7 linked regions of the Daphnia pulex genome follow. The protein of the gene in region 2 purifies or fractionates together with the protein of the main gene of each other region. This does not show direct contact. Links are inferred from orthologs where the notes say so. Each region holds a gene or a part of one and is shown on either strand. Other genes may lie near its edges. The genes, in order: splicing factor 3A subunit 1-like, puff-specific protein Bx42-like, pre-mRNA-splicing factor SPF27-like, pre-mRNA-processing-splicing factor 8, splicing factor U2AF 50 kDa subunit-like, U2 small nuclear ribonucleoprotein A'-like and probable ATP-dependent RNA helicase DDX23.

Evidence for each region.
Region 1: the proteins of puff-specific protein Bx42-like (region 2) and splicing factor 3A subunit 1-like purify together in Homo sapiens (affinity purification with mass spectrometry; 3 studies listed by BioGRID and IntAct, with this or other methods). This does not show direct contact. The link is inferred for Daphnia pulex from reciprocal best matches to the Homo sapiens genes SNW1 and SF3A1.
Region 3: the proteins of puff-specific protein Bx42-like (region 2) and pre-mRNA-splicing factor SPF27-like purify together in Homo sapiens (co-immunoprecipitation; 3 studies listed by BioGRID and IntAct, with this or other methods). This does not show direct contact. The link is inferred for Daphnia pulex from reciprocal best matches to the Homo sapiens genes SNW1 and BCAS2.
Region 4: the proteins of puff-specific protein Bx42-like (region 2) and pre-mRNA-processing-splicing factor 8 purify together in Homo sapiens (affinity purification with mass spectrometry; 5 studies listed by BioGRID and IntAct, with this or other methods). This does not show direct contact. The link is inferred for Daphnia pulex from reciprocal best matches to the Homo sapiens genes SNW1 and PRPF8.
Region 5: the proteins of puff-specific protein Bx42-like (region 2) and splicing factor U2AF 50 kDa subunit-like purify together in Homo sapiens (affinity purification with mass spectrometry; 4 studies listed by BioGRID and IntAct, with this or other methods). This does not show direct contact. The link is inferred for Daphnia pulex from reciprocal best matches to the Homo sapiens genes SNW1 and U2AF2.
Region 6: the proteins of puff-specific protein Bx42-like (region 2) and U2 small nuclear ribonucleoprotein A'-like purify together in Homo sapiens (affinity purification with mass spectrometry; 4 studies listed by BioGRID and IntAct, counting the BioPlex papers as one, with this or other methods). This does not show direct contact. The link is inferred for Daphnia pulex from reciprocal best matches to the Homo sapiens genes SNW1 and SNRPA1.
Region 7: the proteins of puff-specific protein Bx42-like (region 2) and probable ATP-dependent RNA helicase DDX23 purify together in Homo sapiens (affinity purification with mass spectrometry; 3 studies listed by BioGRID and IntAct, with this or other methods). This does not show direct contact. The link is inferred for Daphnia pulex from reciprocal best matches to the Homo sapiens genes SNW1 and DDX23.

The regions. Positions count from the first base shown.
Region 1 is NC_060024.1:13,065,708-13,069,988, reverse strand, and holds splicing factor 3A subunit 1-like, read right to left. Parts: upstream 2,815-4,281; 5' UTR 2,603-2,814; coding exon 2,494-2,602; intron 2,437-2,493; coding exon 2,058-2,436; intron 1,989-2,057; coding exon 1,829-1,988; intron 1,767-1,828; coding exon 189-1,766; 3' UTR 3-188; downstream 1-2. Other genes in the region: proteasome subunit alpha type-2, read right to left, coding at 3,320-3,650, 3,729-3,984, 4,044-4,120, 4,181-4,221. UniProt on the Homo sapiens protein: Component of the 17S U2 SnRNP complex of the spliceosome, a large ribonucleoprotein complex that removes introns from transcribed pre-mRNAs.
Region 2 is NC_060018.1:215,946-220,228, forward strand, and holds puff-specific protein Bx42-like, read left to right. Parts: upstream 1-1,433; 5' UTR 1,434-1,907; coding exon 1,908-1,924; intron 1,925-1,996; coding exon 1,997-2,617; intron 2,618-2,679; coding exon 2,680-2,878; intron 2,879-2,944; coding exon 2,945-3,261; intron 3,262-3,329; coding exon 3,330-3,608; intron 3,609-3,680; coding exon 3,681-3,882; 3' UTR 3,883-4,017; downstream 4,018-4,283. Other genes in the region: uncharacterized protein LOC124188708, read right to left, coding at 4,170-4,283. UniProt on the Homo sapiens protein: Involved in pre-mRNA splicing as component of the spliceosome. As a component of the minor spliceosome, involved in the splicing of U12-type introns in pre-mRNAs.
Region 3 is NC_060018.1:4,114,076-4,117,171, forward strand, and holds pre-mRNA-splicing factor SPF27-like, read right to left. Parts: upstream 1,806-3,096; 5' UTR 1,745-1,805; intron 1,675-1,744; 5' UTR 1,623-1,674; coding exon 1,518-1,622; intron 1,327-1,517; coding exon 1,234-1,326; intron 1,166-1,233; coding exon 993-1,165; intron 928-992; coding exon 817-927; intron 756-816; coding exon 590-755; 3' UTR 533-589; downstream 1-532. Other genes in the region: uncharacterized protein LOC124189006, read left to right, coding at 56-158, 223-301, 1,530-1,561, 2,485-2,662, 2,870-3,096. UniProt on the Homo sapiens protein: Required for pre-mRNA splicing as component of the activated spliceosome. Component of the PRP19-CDC5L complex that forms an integral part of the spliceosome and is required for activating pre-mRNA splicing.
Region 4 is NC_060027.1:2,049,206-2,053,248, reverse strand, and holds the start of pre-mRNA-processing-splicing factor 8, read right to left. Parts: upstream 2,835-4,043; 5' UTR 2,680-2,834; intron 2,478-2,679; 5' UTR 2,450-2,477; coding exon 2,224-2,449; intron 2,163-2,223; coding exon 1,830-2,162; intron 1,769-1,829; coding exon 1,150-1,768; intron 979-1,149; coding exon 786-978; intron 722-785; coding exon 404-721; intron 169-403; coding exon 1-168. UniProt on the Homo sapiens protein: Plays a role in pre-mRNA splicing as core component of precatalytic, catalytic and postcatalytic spliceosomal complexes, both of the predominant U2-type spliceosome and the minor U12-type spliceosome.
Region 5 is NC_060018.1:5,212,957-5,217,122, forward strand, and holds the start of splicing factor U2AF 50 kDa subunit-like, read right to left. Parts: upstream 2,862-4,166; 5' UTR 2,709-2,861; coding exon 2,681-2,708; intron 2,393-2,680; coding exon 2,093-2,392; intron 2,029-2,092; coding exon 1,766-2,028; intron 1,690-1,765; coding exon 1,467-1,689; intron 1,400-1,466; coding exon 1,326-1,399; intron 1,043-1,325; coding exon 920-1,042; intron 857-919; coding exon 698-856; intron 632-697; coding exon 332-631; 3' UTR 1-331. Other genes in the region: RNA-binding protein 28-like, read left to right, coding at 3,128-3,241, 3,316-3,484, 3,545-3,993, 4,056-4,166. UniProt on the Homo sapiens protein: Plays a role in pre-mRNA splicing and 3'-end processing. By recruiting PRPF19 and the PRP19C/Prp19 complex/NTC/Nineteen complex to the RNA polymerase II C-terminal domain (CTD), and thereby pre-mRNA, may couple transcription to splicing.
Region 6 is NC_060021.1:10,325,694-10,329,127, forward strand, and holds U2 small nuclear ribonucleoprotein A'-like, read right to left. Parts: upstream 2,057-3,434; 5' UTR 1,914-2,056; coding exon 1,832-1,913; intron 1,695-1,831; coding exon 1,654-1,694; intron 1,595-1,653; coding exon 1,488-1,594; intron 1,424-1,487; coding exon 1,195-1,423; intron 1,132-1,194; coding exon 1,017-1,131; intron 955-1,016; coding exon 802-954; intron 739-801; coding exon 695-738; 3' UTR 565-694; downstream 1-564. Other genes in the region: lariat debranching enzyme B-like, read left to right, coding at 2,410-2,606, 2,676-2,967, 3,025-3,125, 3,197-3,383. UniProt on the Homo sapiens protein: Involved in pre-mRNA splicing as component of the spliceosome. Associated with sn-RNP U2, where it contributes to the binding of stem loop IV of U2 snRNA.
Region 7 is NC_060019.1:348,382-352,405, reverse strand, and holds the start of probable ATP-dependent RNA helicase DDX23, read right to left. Parts: upstream 2,845-4,024; 5' UTR 2,634-2,844; intron 2,566-2,633; exon of another isoform or gene 2,334-2,565; coding exon of another isoform or gene 2,244-2,333; intron 2,176-2,243; coding exon of another isoform or gene 2,041-2,175; intron 1,980-2,040; coding exon of another isoform or gene 1,796-1,979; intron 1,732-1,795; coding exon of another isoform or gene 1,591-1,731; intron 1,530-1,590; coding exon of another isoform or gene 1,419-1,529; intron 1,362-1,418; coding exon of another isoform or gene 1,207-1,361; intron 1,144-1,206; coding exon of another isoform or gene 953-1,143; intron 892-952; coding exon of another isoform or gene 738-891; intron 677-737; coding exon of another isoform or gene 395-676; intron 338-394; coding exon of another isoform or gene 95-337; exon of another isoform or gene 1-94. Other genes in the region: phosphoglucomutase-1-like, read left to right, coding at 95-337, 395-676, 738-891, 953-1,143, 1,207-1,361, 1,419-1,529, 1,591-1,731, 1,796-1,979 and 2 more; glycine dehydrogenase (decarboxylating), mitochondrial-like, read left to right, coding at 3,422-3,616. UniProt on the Homo sapiens protein: Involved in pre-mRNA splicing and its phosphorylated form (by SRPK2) is required for spliceosomal B complex formation.

The sequences.
Region 1 (4,281 bases), on a different chromosome or scaffold from region 2:
GATAAATGGAGAAATGAGAAAAGTTGAATATATTTCCATTTCTGAGACCAGGAAGGAATCGATGACAGTGTAGCAGAGGGAGAGACAAAATGGTTGTAAAATGCTTTCCGATTACGTAATTATCCCCCAAGGTCCGTACTGATGTAAATGAGGTTTTTTGATGGTTTAGGATTTTCCAGAATTGTTTTTTACTTCTTACGACCGCCTCGTTCCTTCACCTGAAGCTGGACAACAGCATCGGGGGTAACATTGTAAAATGCCAGAGAATGATTGTCCTTGAAGTAGAGCCCCTCCCAAAAGAGCTTTTGCTTGGCCGGCGGCATTCCTGTCGCTTCACTAATCTTCTGCTTAACAACGGAGATTGGTTCCGTGGGCAACAAGGAAAAGCTGAGCTGCTGGCCCTGCAATCTCCACTCGGGTTTTTCGGCGTAAACTGGTGCACCAATATGGAAGTGGAGCAGACCGGGATATCTGACCAAAAAGGCTTCCTCAGGCATAAGTTGATCCTCGTTGCGCTGTCGTTTAGAAGGAGGCTCCTCCTCCATGACATCTCGACCACCCTGACCCTGCTGCTGTTGCTGCATCATGCCCATAGACTGAGGCATCTGCGTCATGAAAGAATTCTGGGGGACCATGGGCATTGGCATTGGCGGCTGAGGGATGGACATCATCATCATGGGTGGCGGCTGCGGAGCAGACATCATGACCGGTGGTCTTGGTGGAATGCTCATTAATTGTTGTGGAGGTTTAGGTGGCGCTGCTGCTACAACGCCATTAGATCCTAGCCCATCTTCTTCCTCGCTCATGCCAGTCATGAGCGCCTTGTTCTTGTGGATCTGCGCAATCTGCTCTTGTATGGTAACCAGGCCAGCAGGTGGACCAGGTCGGGGTTGGAACGTTGATCCTCCCTCTCCACCTGATGGTGGCGGGGCAGGCGGTTGTTGTCCTTCCCATTTGGTCTCGTCTTTGCGACGCTCTTCTTCACCAATCTTTTTACCGATGGCTGTCTCTTCGTCACCGACACCGAAAATATCTGTACGACGTTCAGCCAATGCTCGCAAGCTGTTTTCGATGGCTGATCCGGGCGCGTACACAGACTCTTGAGTCATCTTTTCTTGCATTTGTCGATCGCGCTGCTCCAACCAACGCGGATCCAGCAAACCGATACGCATGTGCTCAGCCACTTGGCTAGCCGGAATTCGCTCTCCAGTGATGGGTGAGATGAGGTACTCGTCTGGAGCAGGCGGACGGGCTTGTGGTTTTGCCACAGCTTTGGGATTGTAGTCTTTACGCACGATGACGTTTTCGGCAGAAGGAGCCACTGGAGGAGGCTGTAGTCCATCTCCCTTGATGGCTTGAGAGGGCGGTGCGCCTGGTGGTGGTGGTGGCTTTGTCTGTTCCGTGTCTGAATCGTCTTCTTCATCATCGTCTTCCTCTTCACTCTCCAGCTGCATCTCAACATCTTGTCCTTCTTCGTAGCGCTCCTGGAGAAGAATACGGGCACCGACCTCCTCTGGGGTTGTGGGAGGAGGGAAATTACCAATTTCGAATGGTTGATAGTCAACTGATTCGACGACTACAAAGTCGTGCCAATCAATTTGCGCATATGACACGCGTTCCCTTTCAGCTTCTTCTTCTTCTCGGCGTTTCTGAGCCTCTTGATGACGTTGCCAGTCGGCTCGTCGTTTGACTTCTTGTAAGACAACGCTAGTATTAGTGCAACCCTCGTTCAAACGGGTCATCAAGTCTTTCGGTGGGATAAGAACCTAAAGAATAACAAAATCATTTAGACTTTCATTCAAACAAAATAATCTACCAATCAAAATACTTTGGTGTACTGTTCTAGGAGACGAGTGAAATATTGAAAAAGCGAGTGCTGAGGACGCAGAAAGTCAAACTGATAATTTCTGGCCTCACGATTCATCAGACTTGTGAGGAACTGGCGACCATTCCTAGCTACAAATTGGGCAGTGAGTTTCACAATGTCTCTGAAATAAGACACAAGTGTTGTTAAGTTTTAGCTTCATAATATTTAAATAGTTATTTAAAAAACTCACAATTCCATGGCTGAAATCGATGGAGGATCAACAATGAATTCAAACTCTGGAGGTGGCTCTTTTGGGATTACAGGGGCTTCTTGCTGGAATTGTTTCAAAATTTCTTGCTGTTTCTGCTGCTGTGCCAACGAAGCTGGTGCTGATGTAGGGGCTGATGGTGGTGGTTTTCCCGGTGGGCCTGGGACAGGTGCTGCTGCAGGTGCACCTTCTGCAAGCTTTCCTTCTCTGATATCCTTAACTTTGTACTGGTAGTATGCATGATAAGGATCTCCAGTATTAAGAAAGTTGAATTTTGGGTTATTCTGCTCATTTTTCCTAATCCGTGCTTCAAACTCCAACCCATTTCTGGCTACAAAGCTGGCTGTCTTGTCCACAATATCTAAGAAGAAAATTGTTATGAATTATTCACGAACTTGTAAGTTGACAACAAACTTACTTCTGACTTCAGGAGGTGGGTAAATGATGCCGACAGTAGGCTTGGTAGAAGCATTCTCGGGCATATTTACTTCACCAGAAACTGGCAATGTTTCCACAGCAGGTGGCATGCTGACTATCAAACTCTATTCTGATGTATGAAATTGTCAGATTCTCACGTCAAAATTAAAAACTGATTCTATTTCTAAAATGTGAGTTAAATAGCGTTTTTCTGTTCCGGCTTTAACAGCAGAACGCAACAAAACGTTGCTGTCTATCCGCTACAATGTTGTCAGACTGTTTAATTTCAGTGTGGCGCCCACTTCTTCCGAATTCCGATTCCGACTTCTTCCCACTTTTTTCCACCTAGAAAAAATTGTTAAACTCTTATCTGCTATTAGTTCAATTCAGAAAAAGAATCCCTTGAACTATACTGTTGAATTATACGGAATTCACTAATATATGTCAAGTACCAAAACAAAATCATATCCAAATTCATAGTTCATTCGGTTCATTCATCTGTTTGCTCGTTTGAATCGATACAAGAAATGAAGAAAGTATGTAGTAAGAATTTAGAATAAACTTGAACGTTAAACAACAATGATCAAGTATAAAAAATACAACCACTTTGAACTGATTGAGGAATTATGACTGGATCTTTTAGATCTTTTATCTGATAGATTTTAAGATTTCTAACAGGCAATTTGAGTGAAGATAGTAGGAAAATGATTGTTTAGCAATGAACAAAGAAAAGGAATTTTGTTTTTAAAATCCAAGAGAAAATTCATTAAGCAACCATCAGATTTATTTTTCGACACTTGTTTGAAATCAAAGAATTTTCGAGCCGTTTAGGCAATGTTCGCCAAGTAATCCTTAACCTCAGCGGGAGATAATCGGCGGAAACCCTGCTCGTTACAAATACCAATTTCAACATTATCTTCTGTCATGCCTCCTTCAAAACCCTCTTTGAGAGTAAGAATCGCAGTGTGGACAGCATCGTCGAGCTCGAGGTCTTCATTGTATCTTTTCTCGAGGAAAGTTTTGCCATTGATGTAATTCTTTCCCATGGCAGTGGCTTTCCAGGCAAAGTAGGCTCCTGATGGATCACACTGAAACAGATATGGACGTCCTTCATCCCAGCCACACATCAAGAGTGAAACACCAAATGGCCTGACACCTCTGCATTACAAAAATTCATTGAAATGTTCATCTATACTATTTAAGAACTATTTTTTTGTGACAAAACCAAATATTTACCCAGACTGTGTGTACTCTTGCATGAGGGTAGCAACACGCTGGACAAGCTGGGCAGTTGGTATCTGTTCTTGATAAGTTACCCAATATTGTTGAGCCATTTTCCTTGCTTGACGAACCAAGAGGCGATAATCAGGACCCATTCCACTGTAGACCATACCGATCTTGGGGGTAATCATTTCAATCTTGTGAACACTGTGTTCTTCATATAAGATTGACCGATGCTTCTTCTCAGTGGCCAGAACGACACCATTGGCAGCTATAACATAACATTATTTACATTGTTACAATCTTTTACATGCTGAAATTTCAATATACCTTTAATGCCGACTGATGCAGCACCGGCAGCTACTGCGGCCAAAGCATACTCGATTTGTACCAGTTTTCCAGAAGGACTAAACAATGAAAATAAATGTTATATTTAGTCAAAACTTAGAAAGTAAATGATAGAAAACCTGAAAGTTGTTAGGGAGAAACTATATCTTTCGGAAGCCATGGTCTAGTTAGATTTTTTAGTTCTGTTCTGTTCAGTTATTGAATGACAGGACAGAATTGA
Region 2 (4,283 bases):
TCTTCAAGTAGCTCATAATTAAGAAGACAACCTCTTTTCCCCTTGTAAACAATTGCCATGGGGAAATGTCGCGGCTTCCTGATACATTTTCATAAGAAACACACGCATATCTACTTGAATGAACTGTATACATCCTGCATGCATTTATTATTGTTCGTCTTAATGAGATGCTCGGTGCTGTTGCGTAATTAACGTGCCTCGGGACCTCAACTATCTCTCTCTCCATGGGCAAATAACTTGAATAATAAACATGACTGCTGCCATGGGCTTATCTGTCAGTAAACTTCACCATCAGCTGCTGCGCCACAAGCACCCCGGTGCCAAATCAAGTTCCCCTTGTGCCAAGGCCTACATAGTATAGTCTGAGCGAGACAAGGCGGCCTATATCGATCGATCCGTCCAAAGAGCCTCAACCAACCCCCACCACCCAGCCAACTGTATTATCGCACAAGGGAAAAGGCGAAACTGCTATACACACACATATATAGTCTTGGATCAAATAGATGATATATATACAGAGGAAGAAGAAGACTTTGATAATGAGACGTGCTGCTGCTGCCGTTCCTTTATTTATTGGAGACCGGCATCAGCACATCTCGTATTGATTTCCTGTTGCAAAGAGAGCAGCCGTCGTCGTCGAAAAGTTCCCAAATCTTGTCCTACAACTGTCTCTCTATTATCGGATGTACTGTATGCATTGTGGATGCATTATAAAGCCCTACGCCGCAAAAGAGATTTATTGGCCCACACATTGAAAGTCGAAACGGAAGGCGGAAGAGAGACGGAGATGAGGCGAGCTCACGGTCACCGCACATCCACATTTATCATTTGTTATGGGACGAGACTCTGAACTGCCTCGCTGATTCGCATCGCTTCAAAATGAGAATCTATTCACTATAGTATATCAAACTCTTACGTTGGCATTTATGGCCACCGGATTTCAGACTGTTAAGCCAGCTATCCGTTGATAAATCAGATGGTGCAACCCTCCCAACGAGAACAGCATTTATTTTTACGACTGTGTCGTCGTCGTGGGATATATTGGCCAAAGTGAAAGTTTTTAAGGTGTTTACTTTTTTCATATGGCGATGCGCTCAGTTCCGCTCGGCGTCCAACTTGTAACACAGAGAGGGTCGATTTCATCAGCGCTCACTTTTACACGTCGGCGTTAATTGCGTTGCATCAAACGAAAAACACAGTGGGCGGCAACTCGTTATATTTTGCCTTGCCATTAGATGTTATTACAAGCAGATTGCAAGAGACGCGAAGTTCCATTAGAGTTGACAAGCGTTCGTATTTCAACTCGGGGCGGGTATGGATTACTTGACTTTCTTATTCTTTTCCACCCACTCTCGACTTTCATCTCATTACCGTAAAAAATGCCAAGAACGGCTGCGAGGAGAAGGAAAAAGGTTGTTGACTGCGCTCTTATTTTTTTATGGAACGGAGAAGAAAAACGTCGGAAGGAATATGAGAGAGAGACTGTAATAAGAAAAGGCGCGCTAACACTCTCATCTCAAGTGCGTCTATTTATTCCGCCCATCATTAAACCTTATTGGATACATCCAACGCAGAGCATACACACACACACGGCGCCACAATCTTGTAAAAAGTTTTCAGGATCGATACGACGTTTTTCCTTTTTTTATATAATTCCCATCACGTCTTGAGCGCCCCATCCCATTGATGGAGACACAATTTTATGTAAACTCTGGATAATTTAATAATATTCTTTTTTTTTTAATTTGTATCGAATAAAATGTCGATGTTGCGAAAAGCCGAAAATATCCCGCATTTTATCTCGCTCTGTTGCGAAGAAACAATCTGACAACGTTGCATCATAAATTATTCTCGAGTTACAATTTTTGTATTTGGCAACATCTTGGTTGAAAGACTCGACTGAAAACATGGCGTCGTTATCAAGGTATAATAATTATTTTTTTGATTTCCTTGTATTTAAACTATGTATTAATTATGGTCATGTTATTTTATACAGTTATCTCCCAGCGCCAACGCAGTTGACGTGGGATCGAGATGTCGAGGAGCAAAAGGAACGTGCTAATCGCCAAACGGCCATCGTGGCCGCCACAAAGGCAATCCCACCATACGGAAATCGCGATTCATGGATGCCTCGAAATGTTTCCGATTTCGGAGATGGAGGTGCTTTTCCCGAAATTCACATGGCCCAATATCCAATGGACATGGGTCGCAAAGACCAGGCTGGACAAAAGTCAAATGCCTTGGCCATCCAACTTGATGCAGAGGGAAAGATCAAATATGATGCTATTGCCAGGCAAGGCCATGGGAAGGACAAACACGTCTACTCCAAATTCACTGATCTCCTGCCTGCTGAAATTACCAATGAGGATGATCCCTCTTTGCACAAGCCCACAGACGATGAAATTGCAGATATAACAGAGAAAACGAGACAAGCCCTGGAAAGAATCACCAATGCCAAAGTAGAAGCAGCTCTTCCAGTCCGTGCCGCAGAGAGAACTGGCCCTGCTCAATTCATTCGCTACACACCAGCACAGCAGGGTGATGAATTCAATTCTGGCGCCAAACAACGCATTATCCGCATGGTTGAAGTACAAAAAGATCCCATGGAACCCCCAAGGTAAATTTTAGAAAAAGTGCCATTTCATTTCATTCCCATATTGACTGATTATTTTTCACTAGGTTCAAAATCAACCAAAAAATCCCCCGTGGTCCACCTTCTCCTCCTGCCCCCGTGTTGCATTCTCCTACACGTAAAGTAACTGTCAAGGAACAACAGGAATGGAAAATTCCGCCTTGCATTTCAAATTGGAAGAACGCTAAAGGTTACACCATTCCTCTTGACAAACGTTTGGCAGCCGATGGTCGAGGACTTCAACAGGTGCCGTCCCTAACGACCTAAAAACGTGTCTTTCCCCAATCAACTAAATGTTGTTGTTTCTCGCAGGTTCACATTAACGAGAAATTCGCGAAATTGGCCGAATCATTGTACATAGCCGATCGAAAGGCCAGAGAGTCGGTTGAACTTCGCGCCCAACTTCAAAAGAAACAAGCGCAAAAAGAAAAGGAAAAGAAGGAAGATACTCTGCGACAGCTGGCGCAGCAAGTCCGCGAAGAGAGAGCAGGTCTGCGACCCGGTGCAGGCGCTGCTGCTGCTCGTGAAGACGACGATGATGCAGCGGAGCGTGACAACTTGAGACAAGAACGGCATCGTGAGCGTCAACGTGAGCGCAACATTGCACGCGCGGCTCCCGGCGATAAAAAGTATTAAACATTTGATTTCCTTTCAACTTTTTCCAGTCAATTAATTAACAATTTCCATTGACGCGTAGATCCAAACTCGATCGCCAACGCGAGCGTGACATTAGTGAGCAGATTGCATTGGGGATGCCTGCTCGAGCTTCTGCAAGTGGCGAGACCATGTACGATCAGCGTTTACTGAACCAAACTCGTGGAATGGACAGTGGATTCGCCGATGATGAGGCCTACAATGTCTACGACAAACCTTGGCGTGAACAAGGAACTCTGTCCAGTAATCTCTATCGTCCGACCAAGAACCTCGATCAAGATTTGTACGGCGACGATTTGGATAAACTTGTCAAGACCAGCAAGTAAGTTGACCTACTTTCAAGGTGCATTGGTTTATGAAGTTGAAACTCATTTTGTTTTTCATTTGTTTACAGGTTTGTACCTGATAAGGAATTTAGCGGAACTGATCGTTCTGGTCCTTCCGGCTCCCGCAGTGGTCCAGTTCAGTTTGAGAAGGAAGAGGATCCTTTCGGCCTCGACAAGTTTTTGACGGACGTCCGCAAGGCCAGTAGCAAACGACCCACTGACGCGGAACGCTCAGACAAGGACAAGGATAAGAGACGGCGTCGAGACTAAATATTGTTTTTCTTTCCGTTGACGATTTCGCAATTTGTTTCATTTTACCTCACACAAAAAAAAATCTTTTTAAAAAAACCACAAAAACAATGATTCCTTTTCTCCAAGACCAGAATACATTTCAAATGAAATGTCTGTGACTAGTTTTATTTATTCATTGATTACGAGACAAAACACTTGATTCAATACTGTAAAGTGACGAAACATTTTGCAAGAATGTACATAATGGTAAATCGAAAATGCAGCAGAAGACTTGAATATCACCAGACAAGTGTAAGTAATAATCATCATGAAAAGAGTCCAGTGGAAAGTCCACGATAAAAACACCTAGCCTCCAGAAGCCTGTGTAGCTGCTCTATGCTGATAAGTCGGACATGAGCTTCTTCACTCAGCTGCTGTCT
Region 3 (3,096 bases), about 3.9 Mb from region 2:
CTTACAATATGTTACGTTTTCAACAAATATGTAATATCCGTAAACTAATTTTCAGGACGTTGGTCCAACTTCTTGAGAGGACTAAGAAAAAGTACCAATCTCGATTAAAAAGACTAGAGCAGCAAATGGTCAACATGTCGGAAAGACATGCAATGCAGGTATATAGAGAAAAATTACGAGTTATCAAGTGTGACCGACATAAAAATGTCATGTGATTATCAGGTTCGCGTCCTAAAGCAACGAGTTATGGTGCTGGAAGATGAGTCTTCCGTCCGCCCTTTACCTTTAAGTTCAGCCCCAAGTGAGACTTCCCTATGATCTTACCCTTTTTTTTACCCTTCTCTGAATTACGCTTTGCTGTACTCATACGCTTCTTCTCGTTTTCAATTGTGTGATATATAAAATCAGAACGTGCTACTTACCATTTATAAGACAAGCTAATCTGAAAGTGCATGACTTTATACTATTTTTTTGTTTTGTTCCCTTACAACCAAATCTTTTTGGTTGTCACTTACTGAAAATCTCGGATGAATCAATTTCCTGTTGCAGTGTATTATCCGAATTCGATAAAGTAGGTTTACATTGAATTTCATTCATTAAGTGAAGCTAACTGTCTCTCAATTTCAGCACACGCGAGTTCGATTTCGTAGTTTTTAGTGATCAAACCAAACCAAGTGGCTTCCAAATGTTTCATTTTGTCTCCAACCTCTGTCTGATCTTTTTTTCTAGCCCAATTGACATCTTGGATTTGTTTCCTGTAAAGAAAAATATAATAGTGTATTTTGCAATATGGTGTCTACTTTACTGAAATCATACTTAAATTCCTGAAGATGCTTCTGAGATTGTTGGATCATCTGGGACAATACAGTGTTATAAATTCTCCATGATTCACAACCATACTCTGACATTAATTCCAAGTTCAAAATCCTGTTTTTTAATTGAAATTTTTTTAAATTTATGGTTGCTGTAAAATTTTTTTTTAGAAAACAAACCTTGTTGTTTGATGTTCTAATTGAGCCATTGAATTATCAACACACTCTATCCATGCTTGAAGATCATTTAGACGACCAGCAGATGGGGGTGGGAGTTCATATCGTTTCATGCTCAAAACATCCATTGGTTTCTTTTGAGACAGTCGCTCAAATTCAGTCTTCATCAAAGGAGTCTATGAACATGATAATTTCCATAATTATTACACACTCCTATCATTACTTCCATGCAGACAGTTCTTACTTCAAATGCTGACAGCTCAAGTGGAGGAAGATGTTCTAGGTAGTTTTTGGTTGGTCTATATCTTCGTGTCTCTTCATCAACCAATGCAAGTGCCTGATAGAAAGAAATTACTCTCATTAAACAACTATTGGACAAGAGCGAGAGTTCTCAGCAACATACAGTACTATGGTCTAGTACAATAATGTATTGATGTTAGAGATGACTAGGCTAACACAAGAATCTCCAAGCCTCAATTCGAAGCGATTCAAATATTTCAAAGTTTGCAATGTATAAGTTTTGCTTACCGCTTCTCGTAGAGTTGGATCTCCATATTCTTGGTCAACGTATGGTAAATCGTCAACCAAAATCCTTTCGTTCGGCGTGGAAATGTTTGTTGACGGAATCGGCATTTTGTGATTTGTGTCAAACTGTCTGTTGTCAGCAAGATTGTCAGATTTTCTGCTGGATTAATAAATATGAGCCACAGTTTTAGTAATTGATTTTCATTATGTCTAATTATTCATAAACTTACTTTTTGATAATGAATAAAGATCATTAACTTCCTTTAAATGAATAAAATATGAAAATAAATTGGTATATTAAATTTTATTCAATAATATTTTGGACACCGTTGCATTGTGAAACAAATAAAACAATATTAAAAATTTTATAACTAATCACTCCATTAAAATGTTTGAAATCATCAATTGAAACTCCATAATTTTTGTTATTAAACAGTGGATCAGTTCAGTGAATAATCTGTAATTTTTCAAGTAAATAATCAAGTAAAAAACGGAACGTAGAGGGCGGCAATTCTCAAAGTATGCCGGCAACATTGTAGACTTCCTCTTTGTCGCCATTACTGTGGGTCTCTTTCATTCGCCTTTTTACCCGGTCAGGACTATCTACCAAGATGGTAAGCATGAGGTTCTCCAAACATTTTACTAGTTTTTACATACATTAATTTACGAATAGTAAGTAAAAAGGTTAACGGGAGAAACGTGTTTTAAGAAAATTCTTGCGTGCGTATATTTTTCTAAGCCATTTTCTTGTTAATCTATGGCGAAAGTTTGGGAGTAAAATGTTACCCACAGCGTGGTTTCGTCCTCGTGTCAAATGGGCTCTTGCTGTTTTTCTATGTTAATTCAACGTCGTTCTTGGTTTATTGTTATGTTTTGGTTAATTGGTACATCTAGTTCAAAGTTTGTGTAAATTCAAGTGTTGTCTCTTGAAAATCTTAAATCTAATTTGTTTATCCATTTTGTTTTACAGAGTAAGGTGGTCGCGAGGCCGTTGATTACCGTTTACAATGAGAAGGCTGAGGCCTCTGGAACCAGCATCCAGCTCCCTGCAATCTTCAGGGCTCCCATTAGGCCAGACATTGTCAGCTTTGTTCAACAACAAATGTCAATGAATCGTCGTCACCCTTATTGTGTCAGCGAGAAAGCAGGTAACTTGTATGCCAATTATATGGCACACAGCATTGAAATGTAGGAGTAATTGTACGTCAGACTCTTCTTGTGCAGTGTGCAACACTAAAGCGAGTCCCTGAGGCCTTTCTCGCTTTGTTTTCTTAAAGTGAGGGGTTGGGCAACCGGACAAACTTCATACACACATGTAATGGTGTGATTGTTAATCTTCTTCTTTCCTATTACAGGTCATCAGACAAGTGCTGAATCATGGGGTACTGGTCGTGCTGTGGCTCGTATTCCCCGTGTCCGAGGAGGTGGTACCCATCGCTCCGGTCAGGGTGCCTATGGTAACATGTGTCGTGGTGGACGTATGTTTGCCCCCACCAAGATCTGGCGCCGTTGGCATCGCAAGATCAACGTTAACCAGAAACGTTTTGCATTGTGCTCGGCCGTCGCTGCTTCGGGTATTCCG
Region 4 (4,043 bases), on a different chromosome or scaffold from region 2:
CAGGATTTCACGACAAAGATGGAAAGCATTTCCGAAACGTGACTTTTTACGCTCCTTGGTTGTAAGGGTCTTGACGGGTTTCAAGTTGAAATTGTAATCCAAATGTAAGTAGTTGAGGTTCTTCCTGTGAATCAACAAGTTCAACATATTCCATCCTTGACGACAGACCTAAATTTGTTCAAACAAAGAAATGGGTTAAGTCTTTGGGAAGAGATATAAAAATATGAAATGTGAAGTTAAGAGGATTGTTAATATCAGTAAGTGCGTTGTCCCATCGAAAGTTGGCTAGCAAACGGCCAGACCCGACTTTCAATGTCTACCTAACATGTTATGGGTAATTTCATGACCCCTGCACAACTCATCATTATAAAGGACTCTTAACAGGAAAAAGTTTAATATTTACCTGGAGGCCGACTTCAACCCAATCCAAAGTTGTTTGCTGGAAGAATTTGGTCGACTTGAAGGACCGGAAAAGATAACGCTTGCGCTGGGCTTTCGGTGGTCGATGCTTGAGCGCATTCAAGACGTAGTACTTTAATAGCTTCTGGTATGAAACGCGCACCTTGACCGGTTGTCCGGGTGGGCAGTGTTCACGGTACCAGTTTTTGACCAATGGAACATCCAGTGCACGACGAGTGAATCCCGACCTGCAGTTGAACGGCCTGGGAGCCCACAACAACGCAATACCGTTCGCTGTGTTGTCCGTATACAAGGGCCATTCCTGTCAAGAGAAATATCGATTAAAATTGCTTTTTAACTAAAATTTCAGATGATGGAAAATTTACTTGAAGCAGTGGTGCCGCATATTCTGGTAATTCAAATTCTTCGCTATCGTCGGGTAACAAATCTTGCTCAGACATTTCTGCCAACTTGTTCTCGGTACGGCGATGCGAAATCGGATTGATGAGCGGATCGAAGTAGAAAGCCGGCAAATCGGGATCTTCTGTCTTGATGAAGGTCACATTTGGGGTGTGATACCTAAAAGAGAAATAATCATTGTAGGGCTCAATATAGTTTTATGTAGTAAAGACTAAGAGCTCTTGGTTTTTTTTATCTACGACTGTTTCAGCCACCAACATCCAAGTATCTTCTGGATATCGGTGTATATCTCAGCCATTAAAGCACAAGTTGAAAGCCAGTATTACTCACCAAGATAAATGAACAAAGTTGGGCATGTTGTTGTAGAGATAGGGGAAGGCAATACGATATTCTGTTCGAACAGGTTGCCGGATGATAATCTTGTTGATATCATTAAATTCATTCCAATCCTCATCTTGAGTGTTTCCGTCCTTTACAAGTGGCTCGAATTTAGGTCCACCCGGAATTGCCATATTCAGCGCCTTGGCGGTGAAGAATGACTTGAGGTCGAAGAGGTAAAAGTAATTGTCATCGACGAGGTCAGTCAACAATTGGTTCGCCAAACGGTAGAGTGTCGCCAGTTGAGGCATTTCGAGTTGCCACTTGCGATAGGTGGTACCATTGACGAATTTAGTATCGACCAAAGGTTTACTATCGTACAGCCAAGAAGCAACTGGTTTGTCTTCGTCCGAGTCCAACTCCATCTGAATGGCTTCCAGGGGTTCTACATCCAAAATATTGTCAGCATAGTCCAACGGAGGTTCTTCGTCGTCAAAAGGAGGAAAGCGCATTCGTTTGAAGTGTCTACGATCTCGTTTCTCTCGACGCATCATAATCCACATGGTACCCCACTGGGCAATGTAAACAGGTTCAACGACCCACGGAATTTCGTTGACGAAGCTAATGGCACCTAAAACAAATGAATACCATTAGCGTTTATACAACATAAAGAAAAGATAAGTGAAACGAACCTGTAATGTGGTAGAGTACTTTAACATCACGGATTTGTTCCCAAGGCATAGGCATGTTCTCCAAGAGCTTGAGAACAGCGTGTGGCATATATTTAAGAGCACCAAGGTACACTCTCTTGTCGTGACGGAACTTTCGGTTGGTCATATCACCATGGTCCCGAATGATTTTACGGACGTGCTCTGGAGGCATATCTTCTTTCTGAGAATCAACAAAGCCAAACTTTCTCTTGTCTGCATAACGTTTGGTTTGTAATTGCTGCCATTTACGAGCCTTGTCTTGCATTTTTTCTTCTGTCATCTGCTCTTGTTTCGAACTAGTTATTACAGGAGGACCTGATGTAAATAAAACTGATAAAATACCTTGTTATAATAAACGTTTGTACTCAATTACTACCTTGTGTTGCCTGAACCTGAGCCTGCACTTGTGCATGGGCTGCTTGAACTGCATGGATCTGAGCAGCTTGAAGTTGAGCAGCTGCAGCTGCTTGAGCCTGCATTTGGACCGCAGCAGCCATTTGGGCTTGCTGTGCCTGTTGCTGGGCTTGCGCCATCATGGCCGCATTTGCCCATGGATTTGGGGGTGTGACACCAGGAATAAAAAATGGTGGAATTCCCGACATCCTGATTTAAGCTTTCTGGGCTATGGCCCTGGTAATTAAAACAATAAAATTAGAACATAATAGCTCCATCATCCAATGCTTACAGTCAGCCATGACATTTACAAGCATGTCCACTCTCATGGCAATAAACTATTTGTTTAGCCTTAAAACATTCACCAGACAGTTACTTTTGAGACACAAACCATCATCAATGAAACAAAGTTTGAAATAGAATAAACGACAATGCTCACCAATAAAGTTTTAAAAACCTATACACAATCTAGAAACCAGTCGCAATTCCACGTTTCTTATACAATGAAAGCCACGGAAGTATACGCAGCTTGTACGAAAAAGCGCGATGCCGGTTTACTGTAGACGGAGTTGCCGTCGAAAATGGCTTGAATATTTATTTTAATTATTTTTAAATAAGCGGCAACTCCGTTTGTTATTGCATCACACGTTCGAAATTTGTCTGCTTCTTTTTATTTTGAGTTTGTTGCAGTTTTTCGTTTTTCTTATCATGTTTACACATTGTTATCGTTCGATTTGATAAATTAGTAGTGAAAGTTTATCGCTACTAAACCGAACTCAGTGCAAATTCTTAATGATCACCATTCTAGTCTGTAGTTCAAAATATTTTTTGTGACTCCAATTATCGTAACAACAATAGACTACTGCCATGGAAGTATAAAATTATAATGTCCCCTTTTTCAAGACAAGATTAAAGAGGATTTCATTTTTTTTTTTATGTAAACGTTTTATGTATTTCAGACTCTTGCAATCAAGTTGATTGAAGGTCTGTTGGAGGAACTGTCGAGGACAAAATCACTTTCAGTTTCCTTAGCTGGACCATTAAAAGATTCAGCCACTGTTGCTTTGCCAACCTTCCTTGGTGGCTTAGCTGGTGGTCCTCTTGGAGCTGTCATTGGTAATTTTCAGTTTGGCAGTTTTCATTTTTTTCCATTTGGCACCTATCATTTTTTCTTGTCATCATTTGCAGGAGCTGTCGCAGGCACAGGAATCCTAGGTTTATCACACGCTATGGGATATGGCAATTACAAACCTCTGATGACAGCTTTAAGAGAGGACTTTACGGTAGAAGAGAGGAACAATTTGTATGAAAGACTATGGGGAAGACTGAGTGGATTTGTAGTCTGCCCTTTGAATCAAGCCATGGCTTATTCAGCTCTAACTGAATTGAGCAGAACTGTAGAGAATAATCCAGAAGTGATGGAAAATATCAGAAATGAGCTCAAAGAAACCCTCAGCAAAAAGAATATGAGTTTGGCCTAAAAATGAAATAATTACTATTTACTGTAGTTTTTAGATGCCCCTTATAATTGAACTGCCCCTTTGATTTGTGATATTGCAAGAGCTAAAATCATATTAAATAATGAATTTTTTGACACACAATTTATGCAACCAACAATAATTGTTTGAGAGTTTTGGCGCATTATTAAATACACTAAGTGCATCACCAATTCAAGGGGAACTGTTTTTTAAGTTTTAGTTTAGTTTGACCTGATGCATATCATACGAAAATCCAGTAATTCTACCTATTAGATTATACTTCCTTTATTTAATAATGAACACCTTTAATTTCTTCAAATTCTCT
Region 5 (4,166 bases), about 5.0 Mb from region 2:
CACATTTGTGTATTGGGAAATATGGTTTGGTTATACATTACTACACATGTTATTGTTTGTTTTGTTTTTTCACCGACACGCCAAACAAAGAGGTTGGACAACACAAACTTGATGCAAAATATCGAAAAACCCATTTAGAAATGACAAAAAAAAACTGAAGAAAAAGAAAATCAAATTCATCAAGGGAAATCCCGTACGCATCAGGCCGTTTATTCTCATCAAGCGTCGGTTCGTCATGACGTTATTTGTTTCATCAAAGTAAAAAAAAAAAAAAAAAGAAGGGGCATATCTTGCGGATTACTTTTTGTCTGATGACAGAAGCCGTCATGGCTTAGAAGTCCCGTCGGTGATAGCGTTCCGGTTCGTAAAATGACGTAACGACGATACGATTGGCGAACTTGCGACCTGTCAGCGCCTGCTGGGCTTTAACGCAGTCGCTCACCGAAATAAACTCGACGAAGACCTTGCCAACTCCCGGTACATCATCGACACCCTCCAACGGCCTGGGAATTTCGACTGAACGTACGGCTCCATGACGATTGCATTCCTCACGAATATCGTCCACAATTTCCTCATATTCCTCGTCGTCCCTCAATTCCTCGGGTGTCACCATGTTCAGCAGACATAGAACCTACGCAAAAGAAAAGACCAAAATGAAATTAAAAATTGTCGCATTAGACAAGGTTGATTTTTGTACCTCTGTCGGTTGGCCAGGACCGGCAGCAAGATTGAATCCTGGTACTTGAATCTGGACTGGCATCTGGGCGTAAGCAGCGGCGTTTTTGGCTCCAACACTGGCTCGCTGGATGATGATCTTTTTGTCTCCCAACTGCATACCGTTCAATCCGGAAATAGCCTGAAAGAAAAATAAAATTAGATGTAATGGTTTTTCAAGGAATATTATCATGGTCTACTTTACTTGATCGGTGACGGTGACGTCGGCATACTCGCAGAAAGCGTATCCCTTGGATAAGCCAGTAGCCGTATCTTTAACTAAGTTAAAGGCTCGAAGTTGTCCAAAAGACATCAGCAATTCCTTTACCTAAATTCGAATGAGACAATTTGCGTGCGTGCCTAGAGTCGACCTTCAAAAATAACAATCTAGGGATCGACGGTGGGGAGATGGATCGAGGTTGTGTGGTTGGAATGGGTAGGAAGTTTTAAGGATCACGTGACCACTGTTTAGGGAGAACGAAAGAAGAAGACATTCATCAGAATCGATTTTGCTTCAACTAGACGCTCACAAATCCCATTTCTCTCACTCTTTTTTCTTCTCCCAATCGAAAACACATTTTACAGTCACATCGACGAAACAGGTAACTTACTTGTTCTTCGTTTAAGTAATTTGGAAGTCCACCGATGAACAATTTGTGGGGTGTATCCGGGACGATCGTGCTCACTGAGCAAAAAACAATGAATACATTAAAGAAATTTGCCATAAAAGAATCACTTTAAGTCGTCCTTACTTGTGCCTCCTCCTCCTCCACCACCTCCACCTCCAGCCCTCTTTTCAGTTATACCACCAGAACTCATGCCGGGCGTTGTTTCGGGACCACCACCTCCTCCTCCTCCGCCGCCACCACCAGGTGTTGGATGATAATCATGGGGTCTGCGGATTTTTAGAGTTTGACCTTTAAAGTTAATACCGTCAAAAGCCATGGCCTGGGAAGTTTCATCAATTGACCGAAACTGAAAAGTAAAAGAGCAAAATTATTTAAATATTCCACTAAAATACTAGGTTTCACGTGAAAACAATCCAACAAACCTCCAAGAATGCAAAATTCTTATCCAGATTAATTTGACAAGCTAAAATGGGATGACCTGGAGCTTGAGACAGACCAGACAAATGCATCTGTTGATTGAAGAAATCCATCATTTCCTCCTCCGCTGCGCGTACATCAGAAACTCCAAAAGGAATATTCCCAACATAGAGTCTCCTGGCTTGACGAGTGATTGTGTTACCCACTACTGGTACTTGGACTTGTGGGGCTACTTCCGTCATTATGTTAGCTGGAATTTGTCCGGCAGCTACGTAGATTCAAGAAAATAATAATTAGCACATTAAAATTGAAACTTGAATAAGGATTTATACCTTGCATTGCTTTGTATTGCATGGGTGTGATGTGTTCGAAACCAATAGGAGGAATATCCCAGTAAATAGACGGCTTTCTTCGGCGTTGCTTTTTAACAGGAGAACGACTCCTTTTGCGTTCACGTTCACGGGACTTGCTACGCTTCTTCTCCTTCTCCTTTTCCTTAGATTTAGACCTTCTCTTTCTGTCACGAGACCTGGACCGTCTACGATCCCTGTCTCTATCTCTTTCCCTATCCTTGTCTCTTTCCTTGTCCTTTTCCTTATCTCTGGAACGGTCACGATCTCTCTCCCTGTCAACTAAAGTATTTCAAATGTTAATAAATCAAACAAGTAAGTTTACTTGCTTGACTACCTTCTAACTACTATGACTAATATTTCCATACAAAAGCAAAACCACGAGCCAACATTATAAACCATTAAAAGTTATGAAATTATGTGTAAAATACAACCAGATCATTAAACACCCATTACTTGTAAGTAATGTGTGTTAAACATTTCTTTCTTAAGCATCACAGACTCTTAAGAACATTACAAAAGCATTATAGTTGATATTGACAGAAGTAGTTTAGAGAAGTTAAAACATACCTTTACGATCATCTTTATCTTCTCCCATGATTAACGTGTGATTGTTAGCTTTTGTACGACAATAAGAAGAAACACAGCAGAGGAAAACAGTTAATTATTGTCCAAATTTTCACTAAGACTGTAAGCCGGTTTGATTAAAGGCTGGGAATGGGCGAATGGCGTCGGAGACGAGGTTCGATTGACTCCTTGTACCGGCAACGTCGATTTAATGTTTACAATTTCAAACTTGGTTTTGATTAATATACTGAAAGGTAAGATTAAATATTTCATAAAATAATAGCCACATAAAATTTATTTTCTGAGTAATTGTTGTATTCATGTTAATCCTCATTAGTTGTCATTTTGCCAATTGACAACAGTCTATGCTACATTTTGACACATATAATCGTCTGCTTGACTAGCTACATCAGTTATACAGACAAGCACGTGTTTGGATAGATTTAAAAGATGAATCACTCTTCAGTTAAAAAAGAAGCTTCTATTGTTACTAAAGCAAACACATCAAAGAAGAGACCACCCAATAAAAGAGGAAGAATAATTATTCGCAATTTATCTTTCAAAGTAAGCCAAGAAACTTTAATTTATGCTACTTTTAGTATGTTAGTAAGTTAGTACTTGATTTAATTTATTAACAGGCAACAGAAGAAGCTGTTAAAAACTGGTTTGAGAAATATGGAGAAATTGAGGATGTGAAATTATTAAAGAAACCTGGTGGCACTTTAGTTGGCTGTGGTTTTGTTCAATTTAAAACAGTTCCATGTGCGGCTACAGCAATCAAAGAATGCAATGCAAAACCATTTCTTGGTAAGAAAATTTTAACATTTTAAATTTGATAATAGCTTATCAATTGTTTTTTTTTTGTAGGAAGGCAAATAGCTATTGATTGGGCCATACCAAAACAACAGTATGCCACTTTAAATAATAAAACTGACGAAGTTCCAAACATTGAGCCGCCAGAGAAGAAAAATGACAGAAAAGATGAAGAATCTGATGATGAAGAAAGTAATGATGAAGAAGAAGATAATGATGAAGAAGAACAAGATGGAGAAGCTTCTGATTCTGAAGTTGAGAATGGTTCCGGTGAAGAAGAAAGTCCAAAAAAAGAAGAAGCTTGGAAGGGTGATAATTCTGAAATAGAAAAGAAGAGTGATGTAGCAGAAGGAAAGACTCTTTTTATCAGAAATTTGGACTTTTCAACCACAAAAGACTCGTTGAAAAATTTCATGGAAAAATTTGGCAGTGTTCACTATGCATTGTTGTGTATGGATAAAATTATGGAGAGACCCAAGGGCACTGGATTCGTAAAATTTAGAGTAAGTTGCATTATTGCAAAAATAAATACATACTAATAACTTTTCATATTAACCATTTTTAGGATTCGGAATCGGCTCAAAAGTGTTTAGAAGAGTCTCGAAATCCATATTTACAGTTAGATGGACGCATTTTAGACGTGGCTCTTGCAGTTACTCGGGAAGACCTCGATCAC
Region 6 (3,434 bases), on a different chromosome or scaffold from region 2:
CGGTGAAGACTCCAACGATGGTATTGGATATTATCAAATACTAATGATTTATTTGTAAATATTAGTAGAATTTTGAACTTAAAACGATCAGTTCTGGATTTTCGTATAGCTGTAAGTTGTAACCTACAAACCAAGTTTGCTGCCATTATCACATCATCATGGCGGTGTTAGCTCATGATATTCCGGATGTGGTATCGGGAAAAATAGGAGTGGGCGCCAAAAATCTTACTCAAAACAACGAAACTTACGCACGGGCACGCTCGTTAATGAAAGGACACGAAACGCTCTAAATTAGATCGTCTACAGTTTCCAAGCTACTCCTAACCCGTCATGTCCGGCTGAAAATAACGCACACCCCCACATCCGCCTTCTATGCATGACTCATTCCGCAAATGGCAGATGAGCCTCTTCCGAATACACGTAGGATATACACACTATGTAGCATATCTAATTCTATGACTGAAAATTGGTTTCGCTACGCATTTTTCACAACACAGTTTTGTTAAAATGACCAAATTTAATCGCTTCTCGGTCTTTTAACTGTGACACAAATTAGACGGGCAATTTGTAATTTCAAAAATATCTTTCTGCTACCTTATTTACTCTAGGGTAGCGATATTTTTATTATCAAAGTGTAGTCCCACATTCACATTAACAGCTTGATACAAATTAATTTTTACCCGTGATGGCATTGTCATTTCTCCATGGGTTCATCTTCTTCCTCCTCCATATCTTCACCTACAACAATTCAAAAGTTTTAACAAACGAAACAAGGAAGTTGAAGACAGGATGTGAATTTACCATTTGCATTTCCGTTTTTGCTGGAGCCTTGGGTGGCTTTTCCAGGTACGACACCTGCCCTCAACATTTGGTTTAGACGTTCTACCTCTTCCAAGGTGGAGGCATTAGCAACAGCTTCTCGGATTGCACGAGCCTCCTCCGCAGATGCACCACCTACACAAAATAATTTAATAACATTTCTTAGGCTAACAAAACAAAACATTTGTGTTTTTTACCTATCGGTGCCTTATTTCCCGCTTCAGCTGAAAGAAACTTGCTTTTCTGGGCGATTTCTTTCGCCAATACTTTTCCTTTCTTTGATTTGAATAGGTCTCGGGCGGCTTCTCTCTCCTTCAAATCAAGTTTTACATGAATAAGGAGGAAAATTCCTGATGTCAGGTAGAACATTATTACCTTAAGTTTTACTTTACGAAAATCCAACACCCTCAGGCTTGGCAACTTGTTTATCACATATGAACGATAATGTTGCTTATTTGCAACAGGATTGCTCAGTAGACTTAAATAGGTGAGTTTAGAGAATTCTGCTAATGGGTCAAGGTCGCCCAACTCTTGCAGATGATTATTTGTCAGGACAAGGGTTTCGAGGTTTGGAATGACTTCACCTAATCCATCAGCAATGCGTCTACAGATTTTAAAGAATCATTTGCATGAAATTAAATTTGTGAATAATACAACAAAAAACTTACAAGATTCTGTTGTTGTTTAGGAGAAGACTTTTAATTCGTCTCAGCAAGGGAAAACCATCCAATTTCCTTATGTCATTATCTGAAAAATCTATTGTGTCAAACTGATCCTGAAAAAAGAAAACACTCCAGTAACTGTTCAGCATGATTACACTACAAATTTACTTACTAAAGTTGCTCCTAGGTTTTCAATTACAGGAATCTTGTAACCTAAAATGATGACAAAAAATAGCTGTATTTTCACGAAATATTTTTACAATTACATCACTTTTTTTAAGCCAACACAAAAAACTTTTGAACTTTAGTAACTGACTGAATGAGATTGAAGCTGAACGCCGGTTACATACCTCTTAAATCTAGTTCTCTTTCTTTGATGGCATTCGTGTACTGGTGGCTCAAGTGAATGACCTCAGCCGTCAACTTCACCATTTTCTTTTTGGCTTTTTAAACCTTAAACACGTAATTGAATTTGGGAAAAGATGCAATTAAAACTTGAACAAAATGTTTTTGCACGTTTGTAGTTGACAAATCTAGGGATATCTAAGTGACGCCATGTGCGATGTTGCAACTCATTTCCGAATACATTTCCAAACAGGAAATTAACTTTTCAAACTAAAGTTTTATCAAAGGTTTTGTGCATCTGTAGCTTTTTATCTTGAAATATAAATACTTTTCTAAACTAAAGTATTTAAATTTGTCAACAAAATTAAAAAAAATTATAAACGTTAGAAAATATATGAAAATGGCTGTGTTTTTGCCGCTAGGTTTTAAGCAGACGACAATAGCCACGAACGATTCGGCTTCCAGTAAAACTGTAAACAACTTCAAAATATTGAGTTTGTGTTGTAACTTGAAAGCAAGTTATCAACTTTGAAACAGCATTTGACATTTATCTTAAAATATCAAGTTAAAGACAGTATAAAACATGATTATTGCTGTTGAAGGGTGCGCTCATGGTGAACTTGATCAAATTTACCGGTCTGTCGAGAATTTGGCGAGGCAAAGAAATGTCAAAGTTGATTTGCTCATCTGTTGTGGAGATTTTCAAGCTGTTCGAAACGAAAGTGACTTACAATGCATGGCAGTACCTGACAAATTCCGTCATATCTGTACATTCTACAAGTATTTATTTATAATTGTTTTAGACAAATAAGAGTTTATTGTAATTGTTACTGTTTTTTTCAATATCAGGTATTATAATGGTGAATTGAAAGCACCAATTTTAACTATTTTCATTGGAGGCAATCATGAAGCATCAAACTATCTACAAGAACTTGCATATGGAGGCTGGGTTGCTCCAAATATATATTATCTTGGCTATGCTGGTGTAGTCAAGTTTGGTGGCATCAGAATAGCGGGAATATCAGGCATCTTTAAAGGACATGATTACTTGAAAGGACATTTTGAAAAACCTCCCTACACAAACAGCACTATGAGATCAGCTTATCATGTTCGTAGTCTTGAAGTATTTCGCTTGAAACAGGTAATTACATTTTGATTGTTTTAAAGATTAAAAACTTAAATGTCTTTTAATTTTCAGTTAAAAGAAGACATAGATATTTTTATTTCACATGATTGGCCTCGTGGTGTCTACAATTATGCAGATACCAGAGAACTTCTGCATTGGAAACCATTCTTTCGGTTTGAAATAGTGTTACCTAATTGTTCCAAAACACAATTCAATTTACACATTTCTTTCTTTCCCCTTCCAGTGATGAGATAGCCCAAAATGTATTGGGAAGTCAAGCTGGAGAAACATTACTTCACGAATTGAAGCCTAAACATTGGTTTGCTGCCCACCTTCATTGTAGGTTTGCTGCTACAATCCAACATAATGAAAAACAATCAACTCAATTTCTAGCACTTGATAAGTGTCTTCCAAGACGTCAGTACCTTGAAGTAAGATTTAATTCAGAATATTCTCGAAAAATTTAACAATTTAACTGTTGG
Region 7 (4,024 bases), on a different chromosome or scaffold from region 2:
GTACAAGGTCAAAACAGACGACGTATCATTGACTTGTCCGTCAAAAAGTTCTAGTCTCAGTCTCTTGTGCTGTAACTACGGGAGAAAAACTAAGATGTTGAGTCCAATAAAAGTACCTACAACGCCATTTGAAGGCCAAAAACCTGGCACTAGCGGCCTAAGAAAAGCGGTTAAAGTATTTTCTCAGCCACATTACACGGAAAATTTTATTCAGTCGTTGTTAACTGGAGGACTTGGTGAGGCTCTAACCGGTTCGACTCTGGTACTTGGTGGAGATGGACGATATTTCTTGCACCAAGCAGTCGAGATCATTGTCCGCATTTGTGCTGCCAATAAGGTACAGATCCTTGTTATTCCGTTTTAAAAATATGGTTCTAATGTGATGTCATTACAGGTATCCAAGCTGATTGTTGGGCAGAACGGAATTCTTTCTACTCCTGCAGTCTCTTGCATGATTCGCAAGTATAAGACCAACGGTGGAATTTTGCTCACTGCCAGTCACAATCCAGGTGGTCCTGATGCCGATTTCGGCATCAAGTTTAACACCTCCAACGGTGGGCCTGCACCTGATGGTGTAACCAACAAAATCTATGAGCTTTCTACTGGAATCAAGGAATATTCTACAGTACCAGACCTGAAATGTGATATTAAGACCATTGGAACTCAGCAATTTGATGTAAGAAAGCTAAAATTAGTGATGTCATTCAAAATTTCATACCATGTTCCACTCTTTGTAGATTGAAGGCCACCCATTTACAGTTGAAGTCGTAGACTCTGTCAACGATTATTTGGAGTTGATGAAAGAAATCTTTGATTTTGGTTCTATCAAAAACCTTATTTGTGGAACAGGTCAAACCCCTCTGAAAGTGTTGATCAATTCAATGCACGGAGGTATTGATCTTTGAAAAAGTCTTTAAATACGACACCATTTGGCTGACCACTGTTTTTTTAGTGACCGGTCCTTATGTCAGCCGCATATTTTGCGAAGAGCTTGGAGCTAGCGCACAAAGTGTCGTAAATGTTATTCCCCTGGAAGATTTTGGAGGACATCATCCTGACCCGAATCTTACTTACGCCGCCGACTTGGTTCAAGCTATGAAAGAAGGCGATTTCGGACTTGGAGCCGCTTTTGATGGAGATGGAGTAATTAACTTTCATTAACTCTTAAACTTAACTCAATATTTCAATGTGTGTATTTAAATGAAGGATCGAAACATGATTTTGGGTGAGAAAGCCTTCTTCGTCACCCCTTCCGACTCTTTAGCAGTCATCGCCAACAATATGGATTGTATTCCTTACTTCCGTAAAACTGGAGTTAGAGGATTTGCCAGAAGCATGCCTACTGGTGCCGCTGTCGATAGGTATTAATTACATTATTGGACCACTGAATTTGTTTTAACTAAATAATTTTTTATTAGGGTTGCCGTCAAATTGCAGAAAAGTATCTACGAAGTCCCCACCGGCTGGAAATACTTTGGCAATCTGATGGATGCCGGACAACTGTCGCTTTGCGGCGAAGAAAGTTTTGGGTAAATTTTAGTACATTCGAATTTTATTTATGAAAATATTTCATATCTGCAATTTTAATAGAACTGGCTCAGATCATATTCGAGAAAAAGATGGAATATGGGCGGTTCTTGCCTGGTTGTCTATTCTGGCCACCAGGAAACAAACAGTCGAACAAATTCTAAAAGACCACTGGACTTTGTACGGGCGAAACTTCTTCACGAGGTGAATTAGAGGTTACGTAACACATTTATGTAACGTTACTTATGACATTGAATTGACCTTTTAGATACGATTACGAAAATTGTGATTCCGAGCCCTGCAACAAAATGATGGCCGACCTTGAGGCACTCATGAACGAACCCTCGTTCATCGGTTCTGTTCACGAATTCGATGGCAAATCTTTTACGGTGGCCCTGGCCGATAACTTTTCTTATACCGATCCCATCGATGGTAGCCTCTCCTCCAAACAGGTACTACAAATGTCTTTAACGGAAATAAAAATGTCAGTATTAATTCATTTTGATCCTAAAGGGATTGCGGATCATTTTCCAAGATGGATCGCGTATTGTCATTCGCCTGAGCGGCACTGGAAGCTCAGGGGCTACTGTCCGCCTTTACATCGATAGCTACGAGTCCGATGCTGATAAATATCTGCTTGACGCCCAGGTATACCATATTGACATTGATTGATGTAACCCTGAAGCTTTTAAAGATAAATGCCGTATTGAATTTAGGTCATGTTGAAACCACTTGTTCAGATCGCGCTTCGAATTTCCAAGTTGCGGGAGCTGACCGGCAGAGACGAGCCCACAGTTATTACGTAATAATAACGCCGTTTTTAATCAACAACTTGCCGAGCAATCGAGCTGCAGTTATTCTTAGTCAGCGCTCTAGTTTTTGTTTGTTTCGTGTTGGATTTTGGGTAAGATATGAATTAATAGTCTATAGAAAGTGTTGTTGTTGTTGTTGAAATTGGAATCTCTCCTGTTATCATTAAAATTTAATATTTGCCGAGTGGCTAGCTGCTTTGTCTAATAAAACAGGCAATCTTTGTGATACTGCGTGAACTGTCTATACTAGTCCCGATGTGATGATAGGGAAAACCTAATTCAGATCATACGTACGTATTTATCTCTCGGCTGAGAGGTAGACCTTCGGTACAAGTTGCACCACGACTGACGCTGAAGCCAATCTACACGCACTGGTACGTATAGGAATTGTTCCCGGCACTTTGCACCTTATCTTTTAACATACGACATTTGTCCTTGAAAAGGAAAAAAAAACTATACTTTGGACAAATCCGTTTTGACACTTATTTGTTTGCACTGAATTATCGCTAGCCTAAATCTATTTCGACCAAGTGTCAACTTATGTCTGGGTCTGTAACAAATTTAGCGTTTTGATTTTTACAAAATGATTGTATTATGTAACTTTGGTAGATTCGATCGTTAAATGCGTTTCAGTTCAATGTTTTCTGGCCAACATCGCAGTTGGGCAGTTACCTATACGTCAACAAAATAAAATTAGCCGAGTCGAAATAATGCCCAGCAGTTGATGGCAGTGAAAGGATCCGCGTGCGGATTGGCCATGGACTGAAGCCCAAGGGCGCCAAATGAGCTTTGAAAAACCGCTTCGCGCTGGTTCGGGATCAGTTTCGCTTATGTACATATCTCCCCCCCTCCACCTTATTGCCTATACCCCCACATTTCCTATGTACACACACACACAACCAGGTCAAAGTCGCCCGTTTCGTCCGCACTGAAAAAGTCGAATGCAAACCTCTCGATTCGCTCATTTCGTTTCGTGCGCTCGTCGTGGTGAGGTGTTACTTGCACAGTCTCCCATAGTGCTGTAACAGTGCCCTGCGGTGTTGTTTCATTTGACTCACGTTGTGTAATAATTGGCCTTAAAGATGCAGAATCTATTGAGAGTGGTGGGTCCTCTGAAAGAATGCATCCGCACCAGCTCGAGAAGTCTTAATACTGCGCAGCGGATTTGCGGAACGCATTTCGACCGCGTCGTGCCCGCTCGGCAGGCATTCAAAAGTCGACATATTGGACCCAATGAAGCCCAGAAGCAACAAATGCTTCAAGTAGTTGGGTGCAAGGTACATTTCACCTATTTTTACAAGTATTGTGTGTGGTGAATGTAATTCTTTGAAATTCGAAACAAGTTTCTATTTTACTAGTAGCCCAAATTTCGTTAGTCTTTTGTTTTTCCTTGTTTTTGTTCTACAGTCGTCTGCTCCATCCGTTTGAAACGTTTTCTTTTTCCATCACATTCGTCCTTCCGCAAATAGCAGTGCCCATACATTTCGTCCTTGAGAATTGTTAGGCCTTCAAAAATAATAGGGAACAGATTTTGTTTAGTCTTGGCATTTGAAAGCCTTGAAACTTGGAATGCGTAGACACTGGACCCGCGGATTAATCCTAAACTTTACAGACGTCTAGCATGTTGTTAAGAATCACGTTGAATCACGTTTAGAACAACACTGATAGGCCAATATTGTGACATA